2 linked regions of the Tamandua tetradactyla genome follow. The protein of the gene in region 2 interacts with the protein of the main gene of each other region in a pairwise test. Links are inferred from orthologs where the notes say so. Each region holds a gene or a part of one and is shown on either strand. Other genes may lie near its edges. The genes, in order: TXNL4A and RHEBL1.

The links.
Region 1: the proteins of RHEBL1 (region 2) and TXNL4A interact in a two-hybrid assay, tested with the Homo sapiens proteins (2 studies listed by BioGRID and IntAct). The link is inferred for Tamandua tetradactyla from reciprocal best matches to the Homo sapiens genes RHEBL1 and TXNL4A.

Annotation. Positions count from the first base shown.
Region 1 is NC_135344.1:2,385,545-2,389,455, reverse strand, and holds the start of TXNL4A (thioredoxin-like protein 4A), read right to left. Parts: upstream 2,371-3,911; 5' UTR 2,286-2,370; intron 1,809-2,285; 5' UTR 1,782-1,808; coding exon 1,629-1,781; intron 1-1,628. UniProt on the Homo sapiens protein: Plays a role in pre-mRNA splicing as component of the U5 snRNP and U4/U6-U5 tri-snRNP complexes that are involved in spliceosome assembly, and as component of the precatalytic spliceosome (spliceosome B complex).
Region 2 is NC_135333.1:109,943,711-109,947,621, reverse strand, and holds the start of RHEBL1 (GTPase RhebL1), read left to right. Parts: upstream 1-824; 5' UTR 825-1,062; coding exon 1,063-1,114; intron 1,115-1,682; coding exon 1,683-1,754; intron 1,755-2,117; coding exon 2,118-2,185; intron 2,186-2,457; coding exon 2,458-2,540; intron 2,541-2,630; coding exon 2,631-2,687; intron 2,688-2,880; coding exon 2,881-2,928; intron 2,929-3,268; coding exon 3,269-3,350; intron 3,351-3,487; coding exon 3,488-3,577; 3' UTR 3,578-3,911.

The sequences.
Region 1 (3,911 bases), on a different chromosome or scaffold from region 2:
ACAACAACTCAGATGAGACTGACCGGAAGGGGTGATTTCCTCACACCAACGCCTCGCACTGGCTCAGACACTAAGACCAGGAGGCCCTGCACCTCCAGCACCTTGGCCGCACCTTGGCCGCACCTGGTGCAGCAGTGAGGGCCTGGGTGTCACCTGGTGCTTACGCCGCCAGCTGCAAGGCAGAAGAGCAGATCCCAAATGATTTCAGTCAACACAGCAAGGCTGAGCTTCTGAGGGATGGCTCCCAGTGCCCTCTGCTCTGCCCCAGCAGTGCTCAAGCGATGTGTACTCGTTGTGTACTCACCCGCTGGTGCCCTCGCTCCTGACCTCTGACCCCAGTTTCTGAGAGTTCTGCTGTTCTCCTGAAATTCTCCGGGAACCTGCTGATGCGCTTCAATATCTCAAAGCACTCCTACCCTAACTCTTACCTTCAGTGAAGTTAAGGTGTGGCCCGTGATCAAGTCATATCAGAATTCCCTGGGGAGCTTCTTTAAAAAGCAGTTTCTTGGTCCCCACCCCAGACCTATAGAGTCAGAATCTCTGAGATGCATTTTAACAAGCACTTCAATGATACTTACGACTTCTAAAACATAAGAACAGTTCCTAAAGTTCACAAAGCAACACCACTACCTCACTCTTTTCTTCTGACAAGACAGGGCAGTAAAAATGAACAAATGGAGGGCCAATAATTTTTCCTTTCCTCGATAAAATATTTATAGCTTGTTACTAGTTCTTCAAAGCAGTCATTTAAACCCAGCCATCATTAATGCATCTCCTATCTGCGTCAAAGACAAGAGCGTATCAGTGATTATATTACTTTTACTCTCCAGTAAAATGAATGACCATCTCAAATGATTTATGAAACGATAATTTTACTATTTATGAACATGTTCATAGCTTTATCTCTTGCCCTACTGCTACAATTTCAAAAACTTAAATAAAAATCAACCTAAAAATTCCAATCAGGAAAATACAGAAAACTAAAGCCCTGGGTATGTACTAGTGCCCTACAATGGCACCTTTGTCTTCATCAAGTTAAGTACTAGACTCCCCAGTACACTAACATTAAAAATCAGGGAAACCAGTCCTAAAAAAGCACAATTCTATTTTTCTCCTAATGTCACCTGAATTTCAATCATTCAAAGATATAAATCAGGTGACTTACAAAGAACATGCTATGATGAAGGGAAAAAACCATTACCAAAACAAAAAGAAGTCTTTACTGTTATTAACATAAGGGTTCTGTTTTATAACTAAAATAAACAAGGTGCCAAAAAAAGAGCTCATCCTTTTTAACTCAGCTATTTAAAGCATCAATGCTCTAGCCAAAGTCTGCAAATTCTTTTTTTCCCCATTGCAATGCAGATGTAAATTTTGAAACACATCTAATCAGTACAAATTATTCACTTATTTGGGAAGGGATCATGAACCTCTAAAATCTGAGGAAATTCCTGTAAACTTCTCCCGGAAAAAGATGAAGCCTTCTGTGCCCTCTCAGGGAGCACACCCTCCCCTCCCGAGGCACGGCTCTGCACGCCGCCCAGTCCTCTCTACCCGCGGGGCGTGTCTGCACATCAGGAGACAAGGGTTAGGAGCCACCCACGCCGGCTGCGGGACCCGGAGCGCACCTTCTCCGCGATGCTGTACAGAACCTCGTCCATCTTCATGCAGGTGGGGTCCCAGTCGTGCCCAAAGCGGATGACGACGACGCGGTCCTCCTCGGACAGGATGGCCTGGTCCACCTGCCAGCCATTATGCAGGTGCGGGAGCATGTACGACATCCTGAGGCTGCGGCACCTCGCGCTCACCTGCGGGCGGTAGGCCGCGTCGCCACCCTGCCGGCTCCGGCCCGGGCCCCAGCCCCCGCCTCCGCCTCCCGGGCCGACTCGCCCACGACGGGGACCCCGGCGCGCGGCCCTGCGCGACCTCCCCTTCCCCACGACCCCCTCGACGCTCCCCTCTCAACCCTCCCTTCCCCCGCACCCCCTCGGCCCTCCCCTCCCTTCCCCACGACCCCCTGGGCCCTCCCCTCCCTTCCCCCGTACCCCTCGGCCCTCCCCTCCCTTCCCCACGACACCCCCGGCCCTCCCCATCCCCTCCCTTCCCCCGCACCCCTCGGCCCTCCCCTCCCTTCCCCACGACCCCCACGACCCCCTCGGCCCTCCCCCCTCCCCTTCCTTCCCCACGACCCCTTCGGCCCTCCCCTCCTGCCCTCCCTTCCCCCGACCCCGCCTCGGCCCTCCTCTCCTCCCACACCACGCGCCCCAGCGCCCGGCCGCGCGCACCTCACACCACACCGGAGCGTCTCGCCAGCCACCCGCGTCTGCTCCGCGCGGCTGTGCCCGGAACCTCTTGCGTGCGCGCGCTGACGTAGCGGGTGCGCGCGCGAGACCCCGCGTGCGTGCGCGCCCCCGCCGACCTCGGCCTGGGGAAGGGGGGCCCCGGGGTTGCTCCGCCCTTTCTTGGGTGCCGCCGGGCCTGGCTTTTGTCAGCCCACGTGCGTTCCGAGAGTTGGGACATTTTTAAAAAAGCATCGAAATAGTCATCTTTAGAAAAAGCAGGGCTTTATCGAGCTAGTTATCATATACATAACTGTGTATATCATATATGCACAAATATTTGACGTCAGGGAGACTGAAATTTTGTTTTTAACATCTTGGTGGACAGGACTGAGTAAAATTTCCGCACAGACAGCTGCCACTATCCTGTGAGTTTGAAATTATTCCGAAATTAAAAGTTTAAAGAAGGGCGGGCCACGGTGGCTCAGCAGCTTGTTTGCGATGCCAGAGGACACGGGTTCGATTCCCAGTGCCTGGCCATGTAAAAAAAAAAAAACTGACAAAAAAAGTTTAAAGAAGATAAGAATACAGCACCGCCAATGAAGCACTTGAAGCTGCCCAAAAAGCCACGGATCTTAGTGGTTTACAGTGGAACCCTGCCTTCCCAAAGCTATTGCAGGGCTAGACCAGGATTTTCAAAAACAAGGATGCAACTTAATCAATTTTATTGTTCTAAAAATTATGGACATTTTTAGGAAGAGCTGAAGTATTTTCTGTATTGTTAATATATACATTTATTTAAGTGTTTCATAATTTTTCTTCTTTATACTTTGTGCATGTCTTATGTACATATATATTTGTAAAGGAGCTCATGCACATAACATAAACTTGCTCAAAACTTTCTTCTGATGTGCTGTGTTACCAAGTGGGGAGACCACTAGCAGGAGAATGAAACCAAGACTTGGTATTCAGTTTCCTTTGGAAGCATATATTCTAAAATGCTATGTTATTTAATGACAATTTGTGAGGCTATAAACTAGAGTAGACATAAATTCCTAAACAAGGAACCTCTCCCCACAACTGTAGATGTATCTTAAGGTGCTCGTGCACATTCCTTGGCACAATAGCTATCCATACTAGAACCACTCCTGCTATCAGTACCTTCAAAGAGGCATATTTAGGATCTTGCAAATCCCAATTTGACTCTATGCCTTCCTAGTTCTTGCCCTATATAACCACTATAATCTGCTGGGTGGCACAGGGCACTACTCTGAATGTCCTGCAGCCACCTAGGACCAGTTTTCTGGACTGTAAATTCCCTAATAAATTGTTACCATTTTGCTGTTTGGAGTGATCTGTTTCATTTTTCATGTTAAGTGCCCATTGAACTTCAGCAGGACCTATTCTGTAGGTTCACAGCAGGACACAGTTTAAATATTAGAATCATTCTTAGTAGAGAATCCATAGAGTGCAATTCACTGACAGATTAAGTTTTTATTACATAATATAGAATCTATTCCACGTACGTATGACTCAAGATCTTTTTTTTCAGAGATCATCTAACCCAACTTCTTTCATTTTATAGTTGAGTCAAGTACAGAGAGGCATTGATAGACTACAAGCATAGTGGTT
Region 2 (3,911 bases):
AAAAAATTTTGTTCCACTTTAAGGCCTTTGCACTGGTGTGTATTGTTCTGTTGAAATTTTCAGCTAGCTGGCTCCTTACTGTCACTCAGATCTCAGTTTAAACGGGGCATCTTCTGAGAGGAAGTACCACTAATTTAAAATGATCATTGCTTATCACAACACTCTGCCTCTTTTATAGAACCTAACACTATCTGATATTTCCTTGTTATGTTTGTCTCTCTTCTACTAGGTTTTAAGCTTCGTGAGAGCAGAGGCCTTGTCTGTCTTGTTCATCCCTTTACCCCCAAAGCCTAGAGCAGCATCTAGAACATAAATATTTGTTGAATAAATGAATGCATTGATGATTATGATGATGACAGTGAAACCTCACACGACCCGGCCACAAACAGCAATTCCCTCAAGAACAACAATTGCAGTTCAGAAGTTAGATCCTCGAAGAATGAAAAATCTCACAACAAAAGGTCTGATTAAAGGGAGGGAATATATTGGATTTTTGGCCTTTTTTTTTTCCTATCTAAGGACCTCAGAGTCCTGGCAAAAGGGAGTCCTAGAATCTTTTGACCAGAAACTTCAGCCCAGCCGTAAAAGATATTTTCCGCCCATGATTCTCCGAAGTCACTTCAGCTAAGTTGCAAATACACAAACACCTCTAGGACCCCGGGTTCCTTTCTGTTTCTTTATGAATGAACCGGCTCCAGTCTGCGCACGCGCAGCTCCGTGTTCTCCCGCTCCACGTGAGACCCACCCTTCCCTCCCTCTGGCGACCCCGCCCTTATCCTTTCTAATGGACCAATGGCGAGCAGCCTGGGGGGCGGAGCCCGGAGCGGCGCGGCGGTGTAGTTCCCCGGCGCCCGGCTCGTTCGCGTTAGTCGTGCTGTGTTGTGATCACGTGGCCAACTCCGGGCGCGGCGCTTGTTTTGGTTTCCCTCTAGCTTGCCCCTGGCAGCTTCAGGGTGAGTGACTTTATTGCACGGGTTGCCAAGGCCTCCTACACGCTGACTTCCTCCCCTTCGGGCTATCTCAGCCCGCAGTTCTCAAAGCCCCTTGGGGCGGGCGCCTGCCATGCCGCTAGTCCGCTACAGGAAGGTGGTCATCCTCGGATACCGCTCTGTAGGTGAGTCTCCGCCCTGGGGAGATCACGGACGCACCGCGGCTTTGCGGCCAGAGGGGGCGCGCTGCCGCGGAAGTCCGACCCAGGGAGGAATGGTGGCATCGTATGAACAAGGGTGTAGAGCGAGGATTCAAAGGATGGAGGAGGAAAGGCCGGGGGAGGGAGATGCAGGAAGCGGGGGCCGTGGGGGTTAATATGGGTTTGGATGAAGGAACACCTGAGTGGTCCCAAGCGTTACTGTGTCGGTGGGAGTGGGCGCAGGGGATGCGGTCTGCCTGGGACAGGTAGTCGCAGGTGTCCTAGGGCGAGGCCGACTTGACATTAGGGAATCCTGGGTCTACTGGGAGGTGGGGGGGTGGGGTAGGGAGAAAGACGGCGGGAAATGCTTCCTGCGGCGCTGCTTGATGTATATTGTAGCCAAGGTGCAGAGACTCAGGGAGAAGAAAGGGTGAGGGTAGATTAGGGAAAGGCATTACTTGGGGCATTCAATGGCTGGGGTGCACAACCTGAGAGGACAGAGGGTGGGAATGTGGACAGAGGATTTGGATACAGTTATCACTGCCCCCCACAGGGAAGACATCTTTGGCACATCAGTTTGTGGAAGGCGAGTTCTTGGAGGGCTATGATCCTACAGTGGAAAATAGTGAGTAGACTTCTCCCTTAGTGTGACAGGGATGGGGCAGGAAGGACTTGGGTTCCCTACCCAACTCCATAATTTAAAATTTCTTTGGTGTTAAGAGGCTGATTTAATAGATATGAAATTTAATCTCTTCCTTCTCAAGCAATCCTGTTCTATAAGTGGTGCTAAAGTTTGGATTTTGCAGGATTTGGATTGTCCAGGATGGTGACAATGTGGATCTGAACCCTATCATTGTTGCTCCAGTTTCTTGGAGAGTTCCCTGGACCTGGTCTATCCATGTATCATCCCCAGGGTTAGGAATGTATGGGGAAATGTATTGCTGTTCCTACAAGTTGCCCCATAGACAATTTTTCTTTTTCCTTTCAGCTTACAGCAAGATAATGACTCTTGGCAAAGATGAGTTTCACTTACACCTGGTGGATACAGCAGGGCAGGTACCAGTTTGGGGTTGGGTATCCAAATGTAGCAGTTCAGCCCTGAGAGGTGAAGTCTGTTAGCCTTTGTGGTTCGTCTGTAAAGTAGAATGAAAAGAAAGGCATTTTAGCAGCTAGTAGTATGCAGGGCTTTTTGAAACTGCTCCATAAATTCTTTTGAATGGAAGTAACTGGATTATGGAGTGTCCCAGGGAGAGTCCCTTGGGTACAGTCCCACAAGTCTGCCATTTGAGTGATGTGGATCTAGGATTGATGTTTCTTTTTCTTGTCAGGATGAATACAGCATTCTGCCCTATTCATTCATCATTGGGGTCCATGGTTATGTGCTTGTATATTCTGTCACCTCTCTCCATAGGTAAGTTGCCAAGGCTGTGGGTGGGGAACTTGGGAGGAACTGAGGGATGTCCCAGAACTAAGGTTACAGCTCCATATCTTGTGTTTGAAGCTTCCAAGTCATTGAGAGTCTGTACCAAAAGCTGCATGAAAGCCATGGGAAAACTCGGTGAGTGGTCCTGGGGAGTAGAGATATCCTATGGAGATAAGTTGGTGAAGAGTTGAGGGGAGATTTGGTCCAAGTTAGGGAGGAGAGCAGGACATAGATACTGCCTGGGCTGGGTTGTTCAACCTAACGTGAATAAGGTTGGGGTCCATGGGGAATGGAAGGGGATCTTGTAGTGAATTCTGTTTCCTCACAGGCTGCCGGTGGTGCTAGTGGGAAACAAGGCAGATCTCTCTCCAGACAGGTATGTGAATGTTTAGAGCTCAGGCTGAAAGTGAACTGGACTAGGAATCAGTTGGGCCCTAGTCCTGGCTCTGCGACCAACTTGGGCAAGTCATTTCACCTCTCATTGTTTCTAACTTGAAAGTTAAGAGAAAATAACCCTTCTATCTCAGAAAATCATCCTTCCATATTTCAAATTTCTATACTACATTCCCCCATCACTCCTTTGTTTACCTAGGTCTTCTCCTTCTTCAGCCTTCCTCCCAAACCTTGAGAAAATGGGATGGGTCAGAGGATGTATAGATTCTAAAGATTTTGCAAACAATATGGGAACATTACTATCCTCCCAAATTTGCTTCCAGGGAGGTCCAGGCAGTTGAAGGGAAGAAGCTGGCAGAGTCCTGGGGTGCAACATTTATGGAGTCATCTGCTCGTGAAAACCAGGTGCTTGGCCTGAAGACTATGAGGGTGGAGGGGGTAGTAGTGTGTTTCTTATAGCACTGTTTGATGGTTGGAAAGTGGGATGTTTACCTCAGAGTTGGGTGGTATTGGCACTGAACTAATTGACTTATCCCTTACAGCTGACTCAAGCCATCTTCACCAAAATCATCCAGGAGATTGCCCGCATAGAGAATTCCTATGGGCAAGAGCGTCGCTGCCGTCTCATGTGAGCCCTTAGATATAGGGTAACTGCCTTGTCTTTGCCCCTGGCACTTGCCAGGCTCCAGTTGGGCAGGCCCTTAGGACTTCACGGGTATTGTTGCCAGCTGTGGCCCTGGCCCTCTGGGCACACAGTGTGGTACCCTCATGTTTGCACACTTTCCTCAGGCTTCAGCAGCCTGGGTATCAATGTTTACAAAGGGGCAAGGATGTCTAATGGGCACTGGCCTCTAGCCCCTCCCATTTTTGCTAAATGAGTTCTGTTACAGCCTGCAGAGTTGGGGTAGATGGATCCTGATCATTGTTTATACAGGAACCATCCTCCTTTGTATGGTTTGGGTATTG